Linked DNA regions of Saccharomyces cerevisiae S288C. Changing the gene in region 1 together with any one later gene gives a genetic interaction. Each region holds a gene or a part of one and is shown on either strand. Other genes may lie near its edges.

Evidence for each region.
Region 2: mutations in SVP26 (region 1) and GSM1 together harm fitness more than expected from each alone (negative genetic interaction), as found in Saccharomyces cerevisiae (2 studies listed by BioGRID).

What each region holds. Positions count from the first base shown.
Region 1 is NC_001140.6:464,142-470,480, forward strand, and holds SVP26 (Svp26p), read left to right. Parts: upstream 1-3,086; coding exon 3,087-3,773; downstream 3,774-6,339. Other genes in the region: YHR180W (uncharacterized protein), read left to right, coding at 1,037-1,528; RGD3 (Rgd3p), read left to right, coding at 4,078-6,339. UniProt on the Saccharomyces cerevisiae protein: Plays a role in retention of a subset of membrane proteins in the early Golgi compartments. Facilitates endoplasmic reticulum to Golgi transport of mannosyltransferases MNN2 and MNN5.
Region 2 is NC_001142.9:226,777-232,723, reverse strand, and holds GSM1 (Gsm1p), read left to right. Parts: upstream 1-1,842; coding exon 1,843-3,699; downstream 3,700-5,947. Other genes in the region: mitochondrial elongation factor MEF2, read right to left, coding at 1-1,423; import motor complex subunit PAM16, read right to left, coding at 4,948-5,397. UniProt on the Saccharomyces cerevisiae protein: Transcription factor which regulates nonfermentable carbon utilization. Binds specifically to 5'-CGGN(8)CGG-3' and 5'-CGGN(9)CGG-3' sequences in the promoter region.

The DNA of each region.
Region 1 (6,339 bases):
ACAACAGATTGAAGTGTGCAGAGTTTATATCCCTGCGTTTTATATTGATTAGTAGCATAATGTAGGAAGTTGATATGAATCTGAGAGTGTGACCATATGGTGGTAGAAATGAGTTTAGGTACAATATTAAATGCGATGTCAAAATTCCAAAGTATACGCTCGCACCCACGCCCACTTTCTTCCAATATACTACGATATAAATTTATGTTACTATATGTGCGACAGTTTCTACTGCAGACGTGGATTGAGAACACGTAAAGTTTGTGCTGGGTAGAAATTGAAAGGATATCCCCTTAACGGCTGTGCTACCGTTTATGTTCGTCCTTATCCTCTCCTGTTAAACTGTTATAAAAATCGTTACATATCTTGCATTCTGTGACCAAGTATTTGTTGGCCTTAGATTTATATTAGGGCCATTGCAATTAAACTGGCTTCAGTTCTCAATGAACGAAGGATTTTTGGCACGCTAAAACTGGTGTGAAGGTATTGCACATTCAAATAGGCTCTTTTATTGATTTGTCTTGAAAGCTTTTGGAATAAGATCTAGAATAAGGACTACCCGAAAAAGAACAGGATACCCAGTAAAAACGCTATTGGGTACCTAGAGAAGCTGGTTTGTCACTGTCCACACAAAATGCCCTAATAACATTCTGAAAGGTTCTGACCGTACATCTTCGCCTGCGGTTGCATTGAGGTCGCCTCGGTCATAAAGTGAATATGCGACCCGATGGTTGCTCAAATGTTAAATGCAGGTAAAAAATAAGACCCCAGGAATTAAATAGTAAGATTTAATATATATATATATAACGGGCACAATTCGTTCATCAAACATGCAGCGGAGTTTCAAATTTGCTATAATATAGAACATGTTTAATTCAACCAATCGAAACGTACAGGCGCACACTATATTCAAGCAGTAAAACTACTATCTGAACATTGAGGTCGAATATATATATTATAGGCATAAAATCTCCTACCAAACTTGCATCAAACCTCTAAAATTACTATTATATATTCAACTTATTTAACGTGCCCAATGGAAATGCACTGGATAACCCTCGTTGCATTTATTGCTACATTCTTCAACCTAGCTGCTACCTCGATCAACAATAGTTCCCTCCCTGATGTTGATCTTACTAATCCTTTGAGATTCTTCACTAACATTCCAGCAGGACTTAATTTTAATGAAGTCATTTTTCTCGAAAGAAACGGATTCTATCTTGGTGGAATAGACTCTCCCTCAATCTACCACTTAATAAATGGTACAGCTGTGTATTTTGGGGATGTCAGAGATAATATCATGCCGGGTACAGTTGGCACTACTAGGAATGTTACAGATGTCGACTATGGCTCCTTACTGACAGAGTATGGTTATGAAGCTAATACAGATTATGTCTCGCGTTGGATCGCCACTCATGTAGTAATCTCTCCATTGAATGCTACAGAGTTTTTCCAAACACCCGTGCCAGTACCAGTGCCAGTGCCGATAACAATACTGCACCAACAGGTGAACTCAAAACTACATTAGTCAGGACCCGTTCAGCCCGTTAATCGTGGGAATCTCTGTACTGAGGGTCAACTAGTGTATGCGACTGTGATTCAGATAATACCTTAAGCGTCGAAACCTCATACCCCCTCATCTGGCTCGGGAGCCAGTATACTATATATATATATATATATATATATATATATATATAAATTCCTAAAATACTCTCACACAGAAGCACAATAATGAGTGACGCAAATGCAATTTATGACTAATTCATCACCAAAGAGAAATATGCAGCGTTAACTCTCAATCTAAGAATATGTAACAGATTTTAATCTCACGAACTAGCGACTTTAATTGTTGTACCTTATTCCTTAGTAACGTTAGTAGTGTCTAATATTTTACTAGACGGTGCCACGATTTCAGAGATGTTAGATCAAAATTCCTTTCTTAAGAACAAGGATATGGCAAAGTATGGTAAACAAGACGTACAAGAGTGTTAAAGATAATGCATAGAACACGCTCAGTGTAAGCAAGATTAGTACAACTGCTGATCTGGAGCCAAGACAACAAATATCACATCCCGTTTGTCATGTTAAAGATAGCTTATCATAAGTTAGCTGAGACACTCAACCTCATATAAAACAAAAACTGATTATTTTGGTGAAATAATGAATCTTAAAGCTTGATAGTATTTGTATTGAATTACTACTCACAAACTATTTAAAACATCAAGCCAAATATATGCGGAGCACAGAGAAATATTTGTGAATTATATCTTTTGTTGGAAAGACAAGCAACTATCCTAGCGACATTAGGATTGCCAAGACATCCGGTTTTATTCAGACCCTTACATCAGCAGCAGCACGTTCCATCTTTTCAAACTTCCTGCCAAACATTTATGAAGACATGAAACTCTAAAATGTCATCTATTTATAGTAGTCATATTACTATTATATTATTACATGCGGTGTAAGAAGATGACATAGGATTGGGACACAGTCATCGAACTTAATGGACGCTGAAGTGCAAGGATTGATAATGTAATGGGATAATGAAACATATAAAACGGAATGAGGAATAATCCTAATATTATCATGTAGAAATATCGATTCCATTTTGAGGATTCCTATATCCTCTAGGAGAACTTCTAGCATATTCTATATACCTAATATTATTGTCTTTGTGAACAATGGATTCCCACAAATTATCTCAAAATTCACAAATATCTCATTCTCGCATTCCAACAGTTATGTTACTCATTCTATTCGTTTGTTATGTGTGTTTTATGAACGTTTGGGATGACGTATTGTCATACTGACGTATCTTATTTTGAGATACAACATAGTTGTATTTTTAGCCTCCTTAGCTTAGTGGTAGAGCGTTGCACTTGTAATGCAAAGGTCGCTAGTTCAATTCTGGCAGGTGGCATTATACCGGTATTATTTTTTTTCCCTTTGTTCTTATTTCTCTATCATTTATAACTTTATGATTTTTTAAAGGTTGAATGGTCAATGTGAAAATTAAAACTAAAAACATATAGTTGACAAGTGAGAAAAAGAGCAAAAGGGAGAAAAGAAATTGTTAGAATAAAACCATGCTGTTAGAATTGATTTCTTATGCAGGAACCGTTTCAGGGTTTCTTTTTTTAACACTTTCAATTGCATCGGGTTTATACTACATTAGTGAACTTGTTGAAGAACACACAGAACCCACAAGACGGTTTCTCACAAGGGCTATTTATGGTATAATATTAATATTAATTCTGCTACTGTTACTAGACGGTTTCCCGTTCAAACTTACACTTTTTTCCATTGCATGTTACATAGTATATTACCAAAACTTAAAAAGTTTCCCATTTATTTCGTTAACCAGCCCAACTTTCCTATTAAGCTGCGTATGTGTGGTCTTGAATCACTACTTCTGGTTCAAATATTTTAATGATACGGAAGTTCCCCCACAGTTCAAATTTGATCCAAATTATATACCACGCAGACGTGCTAGTTTCGCTGAAGTAGCCTCATTTTTTGGTATATGCGTTTGGTTCATACCATTTGCCTTATTTGTTTCTCTGTCAGCTGGTGATTATGTGCTACCAACGACTAGTGAGCAACATATGGCTAAGAAAAATGATGACATCACAACGAACAACCAGCCAAAATTTCGTAAAAGGGCTGTTGGGTTAGCTCGTGTAGTCATCAACTCGGTAAGGAAGTACATCTACTCTCTAGCCCGTGTATTCGGTTATGAGATAGAACCTGACTTTGATAGATTGGCTGTTTAGGATTGCCTTTTTTTTTAACATGTAGTTAGTTTTTCTTTATTTGAATATTCTAAATAAGAAATATGTGTAATGCTCTGCCAACTATTTTGCACAGGAAAGAAAAATCACCAATACAATACTACTATATTTTACCCAAGTTAATACGGGAAAGTATATTTTCTTTTCCATATTTTTCTTTTTTATTGACGTTTGCATTTTTTAGAGCAACTAGTAAACAAAAAACCAGTCAGGCCCAGTAGATTAAGTATTGTCATTACATAGACAAAGGCAAGAGAAAGAGAGCATTTTCTTTCGGTCTCTAGTTATGTCTGTTAAAGAGCATAACGAAGAAGATATTATTGGTGATGAATTACAGAATTCGAGGCAACTCTCCATTGATTGCGACTCAGTTAAAATTTCACTAAGGAACACATATTGGACCAAAGACTATACAACAGGTATCAAATTATTCATAAAACATATGAAGAGAGAAAATGATTTGCTGATTAAAGACATCAAATTTTACAATGATTTTGTCAACAAATTTTGGAAACCAACATTGAACAATTTACAAAAAATGGAAGCAACCAATTCAATGAATAGCAGGCTGCTGGAAGTGATGAGCAAACAGTTTAATATAATATCAACAGAGCAAGTTGAAAGAGATTGTAAAATTCCATTGCAAGAACTAAGAGATCTTAATGAGAGCTTCCTTCGTGAGGCAGAAAACGATTTGTCATCTCGTTATTCAGCTTACATTAAGGATTTAGTCGCAGCTAAAGAGGCACTAATTGGATGTGAGAAAAGAGTTCAGTCTATATATAAATTGAAAAAAGCCAATACGCCAGTGGAAAATTCTTCCTCTGTTTTTGATAATGGAAAGGATAGTGCACCGTTAACCAGGTTGAACTTCGTATGCGAGTTTCCTTACACTTTAGACGAGAGGTTAAAATTTGAGGATTGCGACCAATTTATGTCATTTTTGCAAACCTTGAAGGGAAAAGTCATCCTGGAGAAAAGTGTCTTTTCCGTTCCAGGATTGTCAAATCAAAGTTTCCAAGGCAGGTCATTGATCAAAGAATTGAAAAAACTTGAACCCAGACTAAACCTGTCCTTATTTAATATCGATAGGATAGGTAACGAATTCATCCAACTGGGTATAATACAAGAATATTCCCTGAGTTTTTACTCTAGCAAAGTTTCTCAGTTTGACCAGGAAAAATACTATTACTGGAACAGTGAAGTCCTTGCTACGCAAGAGAGTAATGGTAATGCTGGAAACAGAAAAAAAAAATCGTATGGTGAGTTAACACACTCCGACAATGAACACGAAGAAAAGTCCAACGTTTCATCTATCAAAACATCTATATCCGATTGGATCCGCAAAGTTAGTCAACATGATAATGATGATTGCGATGCAGCGGGAAGTACAGATATGAATAAAAATGAGTGGAAGAGTTTAAAACAGCAACTTGAATCATCACAAGATATTTTTTTCTCCAAGTGTTGCCAGTTGGAATATTCTAAAGTGCAGTTGGAAAAAACCATTTATGATTATTGTAAAAATTACTCTAAAATGGAGGACGGAATCAAACGAGCTCTAGAATCATCAAACATGATGTTTCAACAAAAATGTGAAAAATTTACTGACTCACCTGTGTGTTCTCTACAAGAAGCACAACTGCCACAGGAAACTGCCAATGCGGATGTAAGAGGGTTTTTCCTCAGGGATAATGGCATACCCTTTCGCAGGTGGAATATCCTAGAAGCGAGTGATCCAGTCGACGCTTGCAAAGAAATCTCCATAAAAAGCGAAAAGTTTTTCTGTGGTAGTGAAATAAATAATGAACTGGCTGCTCTTGATACGTTAGGGGCAATAAAGATTATACTGCGGCAGATTGAAAAGGAACCAAATGCTAATAAAGTCATACAAAGTTGGCACAGGGATATTGATTTTGTAAGGGTTTCTAATTTGAAAAGAGACTTATTGGGGGAATTCAAAGGATCGAAAACTACCGAAAATACAAACTCTATAATCACTGCTCATTTTTTTGAAAACTCGCACAGCTATGTCACTAATGATCTCGTCGGACTGATAAAATTATGGCTGTTAGAGCTACCCGACAGCCTAATACCTTCAAACCACTACGATGACTTAATTAAGGCCGAAAAATCGCTAACATCCCTATGTGAACAGTTTCCGACGAGCTCCTTAAGGTTTCTACAAGAACTAGCAAACCATTTTCAATTGATCAATAGCAAATACTCACTTCCGCCGCAAACAATACAAGATTTGTTTAGAGACAACAGTGACATAGACATACCATTGGCCCATCACTTCGTAAGAAGAACAGGCTTACAGAACCCTATCGACATCAAAATCTTGTCACCAACATTATCTACATTTTTCATCAACGAAAGAACTGTAGAAACTTTGCAAACGTTGATCGCAAACAGGATCACGACGGCAACTACTGCGACACTCACTGAACCGCCGACGATAATTATAAAGGATACAACGGCACCTATACACTCTACCCCTAAGCCACCGCCAAACGACAAGGATGGCCATTTCATACCTCGGCCA
Region 2 (5,947 bases), on another chromosome or scaffold:
CAAAAACTGGTGGGGGAATGAAGATAGAATTGATTTTTAACGTCAACTCCTTTTTTTTATCAAGTGATTTCAACCCATCCTTCTTCGACGAATGCGTTATTAGTGTATCTCCAGTAGATATGTTGTTTTCGACTGTAGAGCCAGTAAGCAATCCGATTTGGCCCGCAGTTAAAATATTTACAGGTTGTGATGTTCCCGCATGGGGTATCAGTAATTTACCCAATTTAAATTTTTCCCCAGTAGTAGAATTATAAACGGTATTGCCACTGTTTAGTGTACCTGAATAAATTCTAATGAATATTTGTTTACCCCTGATTGGATCCGTAATCACTTTGAATGCAAGAGCAATGCAAAGATTTTTGTTGTTGTTTACTAAACATCCAACTTTGGGGTCATATTTCATTGGAACGGTTTTATCATTTAGTTCTGGTAGTTCGGCTTCAATGGGCGAAGGGAGATAATTAACTATAGCATCTAATAGAGGCTGCACGCCAATATTTTTAAAAGACGCACCGCATAAGACAGGTACAATCATATTCTTCATAGTCAGTTTTCTTATTGAAGCGTTCAAAAACTGTGCGGAAACCTTGGAGTAATCGCCTTCTGCCTCCTCTAAGAAGTGCTGGACTAAATCTTCGTCGTATTCAGTCAAAGTCTCTATCATCGATTCCCTACAACGATTACACTGCTCAAGAGAAGTACCATCCAACTCATCCACGATAATTTCATCAGGATTTTCTGGATTCCAGGTTAATCGCTTCCCATTTACGACGTCAATAACACCTTGGAAAACATAATCATTGCTAGTCGGTTGTTTTCGATAGTAAGGAATGTTTACCAACACCGGTTTGGTAGTTGTTCCTCTCATAAATTTATTTATCAAGTCATTGACTGTATGGTTGAAACTCGCCCCCATACGATCCATTTTGTTGATAAAGCAGATTTTGGGCTTCGATTTACTTTGCTTCCAAACCTTCTCTGTCTGTGCCTCTACGCCGGCAACAGCGTCCAAAATGACCACGCATGAATCAATAACTTTCAAAGCCCTAATCACTTCAAAAGTAAAATCTATATGTCCCGGCGTATCAATAAGATTTATTGCAAAAGTATTTCGCCATGGGAATGAAATCGCAGCGCTTTGAATTGTGATACCTCGGGATCTCTCCTGCTCTAAAAAATCAGTTATCGTATCGCCAGTGTCGACGTCTCCAATATGCTTTGAGATTCCTGCATAATAAAGCATCCTCTCTGTTGTGGTAGTTTTACCTGCATCGATATGGGCTATAATTCCTATATTTCTAACCTTAGACAGTGGACTTCTTGCGGTCGATAAGTATCTACTTCCAACGTTAATTACACTTAATCGGTTCTTGCTAATGTTTACTCTTGCGCCCGCCCATCTGCGCACATTCCATTTCCACATAGCCTCCCTCACTTATCTTGCCCCTTTTGTATATCTCTGACTGCCGTTTTGCCACCAGAAAGCTTGTTGATCTATTTCACATTATCTTCTTTTAACCGCCCAGCCTCCGCGCCGTCGTCGTTCTCTGTGCTGATTGGTTATCTCCCCTCTCACTAAGGGAAGGCCTCAAAAATTGTCGAAATGAGAAGAGGCTGAAACGATTTACTAATCATCATAGCCTGCTTAAACGAGTTAACACTAAGGGGAAGGGTACGACTATCATTTGTTCGGATCTCTGAACCGGATATTTTCTTTGTTACACACATCAAGTTTTTGCATGAATAGATCATATTTCGAATGATTTAACGTATTACAGCTTAGCAATAAAGGGAGTAAAGAAATAATATATTTGGATACAGCATACAAGAATATATATACATATGACCAAAAAACTACCTTCAGAGTTGAAACAGACGAGAAAGTCTATCCAGACAGCTTGTGAATTCTGTCATACCAAACATATACAGTGTGACGTAGGGAGGCCATGTCAAAACTGTTTAAAAAGAAATATTGGGAAGTTTTGCAGAGATAAGAAAAGGAAATCAAGAAAACGAATTGAGAAGCATGGAACACAACCATACTTGAATTTGGGGAAGAGGCTGGTAATACATGATGTGCCGTCGAAGACGGTATCCCCCTCAAGCGTACATCTGCAGCGAGATTTTCTATCTTCAGATCAGGAAAAACCAGGCAAAACACCTGCCCACAATACGAATATCCAATATACGTATAATATAAATGATAACTTTCAAAGCGCTGGATCTATTCCACGTATTACGAACTTCAATACGAATAACCGCCAGACCGTCTTAGAAAATACTTCTAATAATATATCAGCTTCACAAGCAGTACATTTAATGAATGACCCCATCATACCCACCGTACGGAAGAGTACTCTCAATTTAAAGTCGCATTTCCTAGAGCAACATAAAGCAATGCAGCAGCCGCTGGCTACCAATTGTTTGGTTGCTACTTCAAACGTTCCTGTGCACTCTGGAATGGACGATAGTAATAAGAGTGACGATGATGTCGATGACGAAACTAATATTCACTTTGATAGTATGTGGTGCAATGACGAATACATGAAATTAAAGGATATAGTAGATATTTCAACGCCGTTTTTACCGAATAACTCCCAGATATTTTCCCTCCAAGAATCAGAATATCCCAATCCTAGCGCATCTACACGGGGAAATTCGTCATTGCATTTAACGAACCTTTTAAACTCGACAAAAAGCGTGAATGACCAAAAGGACTCCTCGATCGGCCATTCCACTTCTACTTTCAATACATATGATGAAGTAGTGTCTAGGCCCTTTATATCTTTAGACATGCTGCATTTGAATCGTGGAGCAAACGCTAATACACACCCATCACATAACGCCAAACTGGAAAGCGAATGTGACAGTTCTAGTCACTCCGATGCAGATCTGGAGAAACATGATACCGATTTCATATCACCTTCAAAGTTTCGTGAATTAGTAAAGACTCCTCAAGACCTATATGACAATAAATGTTTAATAAAACCGCATAATTACAAGCTCGCATACACCAAACTGCTAACTACTTTAAGAAAAAAATTTCTTGAAGGAGCTGAAATTGATAAATCTGCCTCAGTAAAAGACGAACACAGTACCCAAAAGCATAATTTGAGATATGATTTAGAAGTTATAATACGCTCTATACTAGAAAGATATGCTCCAATTTTCATTTCGTTAACATCCAATATGATTGAAGAGGATTTGCTATTACAGGAAGTTACCTTGCAAAGGGCTTTATTAGATTTGGAGAACATGGCAAAATTAGTAAGCTGCACACCGATGTGCATCTGGAGAAGATCAGGCGAGATTTGTTTTGTCAGTAACGAATTCTATTCTTTAACAGGTTTTAACAAAAATTTACTATTAGACCGCACCTCCTTTATTTTTGAATATCTGGATCATAAAAGCGTTTCGAATTACTTTCAAATATTTAACGAATTGCTGGCATTTGGTTACAATGATATCAATAAAAGGAAAAAACTATTGATGTTGAACGCATGTTCTTCTACCTCGTCAAAAATTACAGAAGGGTTTTCTTTTACTACGGATGGAAAAGCAATCTTTACTAAGTGCAATTTATTATTAAGTAACGGTCTTTATTTGAAGTGTGCCTGTTGTTGGACAGTAAAAAGGGACTCGTTTAATATCCCAATTCTCGTAATGGGACAATTTTTACCAATTTTTGAAATGGACTGATCACTATTTTTTGGGCTTATTACTGATTACAGTTTTTATATGCATTCTGTCCGTTTCTTTGATTTTATCGCTTATTTTTTACTTAGGTTGGCAATTCAGTATTCTTTAGCGTTTCTTTTTTTTATTTTACTTTCCGTATCAACAATAATATTTATATTTATGTACAGTTTTACATTGTAATTTAGTTTCTCAGGAATTCGTCAAAAATGTAAAATCATCCATTGAAAACCTTCTTCCCTGAAGAATTTTAAGCATAACTTTATATTTTTAAACAAGGTGGATCTAGAAACTTTGTATTAATTACAAGAATTTATAATATTATTCGGGAGCAACAATATGGATTTCTTGCCAGTAAAACCCTACCTATTACTTCCCTCTTTATTATTAGCCGGGTCACACTAAATTGAAAAATTTGTTCTTTCCTGTTTTTGGAGCAACAGAAAAGTATAAATAGAGCTAGTGTTGTCCGATTGGCAAAAACTTCTTCCCTTTGTTACTTCTTCTTTAAAATTCAAATTTTTCTTTTGATTTTTTTTCAAAAGGCTAACATCAGTAGTGGTTAATACTATCTTTAGATAATATTAATTTCATTATACCATAGAAACCTAAAGATTAGGTTATTTTCGTTCTTCATGTTATGGAGTGTGAGTGATGAGGAGCTTGCTCTTTTAAGCTCATATTACGTAATAAGTTAATACTGGAGCGAGAATAATTTAAATCATTTCATCATAACCCATAGCTGAATGAACTTTGACTACTCCTAAACAAAGTAGTAACAATTTTCATTTCGTTTCCGGTTTCTTAGATCGAATATTATTCTGAGGAAATTCCCTGATTACATATCAGGGAAAGGTTCGCGTTTTTAGAGAATTGCGTAATGCGATTTGAAAGTTTAAATTCCTAAGCGACTCTTCTTCATGATAAGACAGTTTATATTTTGTATACTTTCTCATTCCCATAATTTGTAGTGCCTACGGGGATGGACTTGTCTTGGTACCAACTGACGGTACGTTCTGATGCTGCCTTGCTTGTGCTCCAACATTTTTTTTTTAATTTCATTTTCGTGTACGGTGCGTATATCGAGATGGCATCTGAGTATATTTACTTTGGTACATATACTAATATTAACTAAATACAAGGATGGTGGTTGAAGATTCCTAACGTACAGGAAGCAACCAACTAGGAAAATATATGCACTGCTGCATGCTTTCGATAACACTTGTGACGTAATGATGGAGGCTTCCTTGACTACTGATTGCTGCTTGCACTATTATCTGCACCAGATGAATTTGTTGAATTCGGAGGAGGTTTCGCTGTTGAAGCGTCCCCTGCTTTCGCCTTCGCATTTTTTTCTCTCTGAGCCAGTTCCCATTTTAACCTTTCTGCTGCTCGATAAACTTTGCTCTGTAAGTAGAAGCTTCCACCTTTTTCTTTATCGTTAACCTCAAATAGATAGTTAAACCTGTTATTAATCTTGTCCATGTTTAAATCGCCCTTGGATTCTTCAATATTTAAAATTTTACAACTCTCATCCAACGTAATACCACCATATTCGCCTTTTCCTGTTCCCCTTCTAGATGCATTTGTAGCACCTTGTTTCACTGATTGTGAAGCCGCTTGTCTATACGCCTCGGCGAATGCTTTTCCAAAAACTTGAGTTCCTGTGATTATAACCTGTATGAAAGCCCTGTGAGCCATATTTTATATCCAACAAGTCTATGTTTTTCTTATGCTCAAGTCACGAAGCTGTTGCCAAATTTATAGTCAGCTGAAATATGTGAATCGGATGCAAATGAGTTATAAGTTGAAGCTTCAAAATTTGCTACGTGAAAAATGATAAACGATGATGAAGTAAATAAATATCGTAAAACGAAAAACTCTCTTTTAAAAAATTCATATGTAGGAATTTCATTTGATAAGAACCTCACTCTTCATATCAAATAAGTCATTAACCTGCCATGAAATGAATTATGGAAACAATGCAGCTTTTTGAAAGGAAAAGTGCGGTGGATTTTAACGTTAAGGATCCTCTCAACTAATGATTGATGCTTAATCGTGGCATCTATAAATAAAGCATGAATTGTTCTCTATAGTTACAAAGTGGTGATTTATTATAAAAGTGTTTTGATATTCACGCTTTCAACATTAAAGCTAAAAACAAAAGAAAAAAAATGAAGACCAATGCGAAAAAAAATACCAAGATTGAAGTTTTGGAAGAAAAATTATGATGATAAAATTAAGCTTTCAA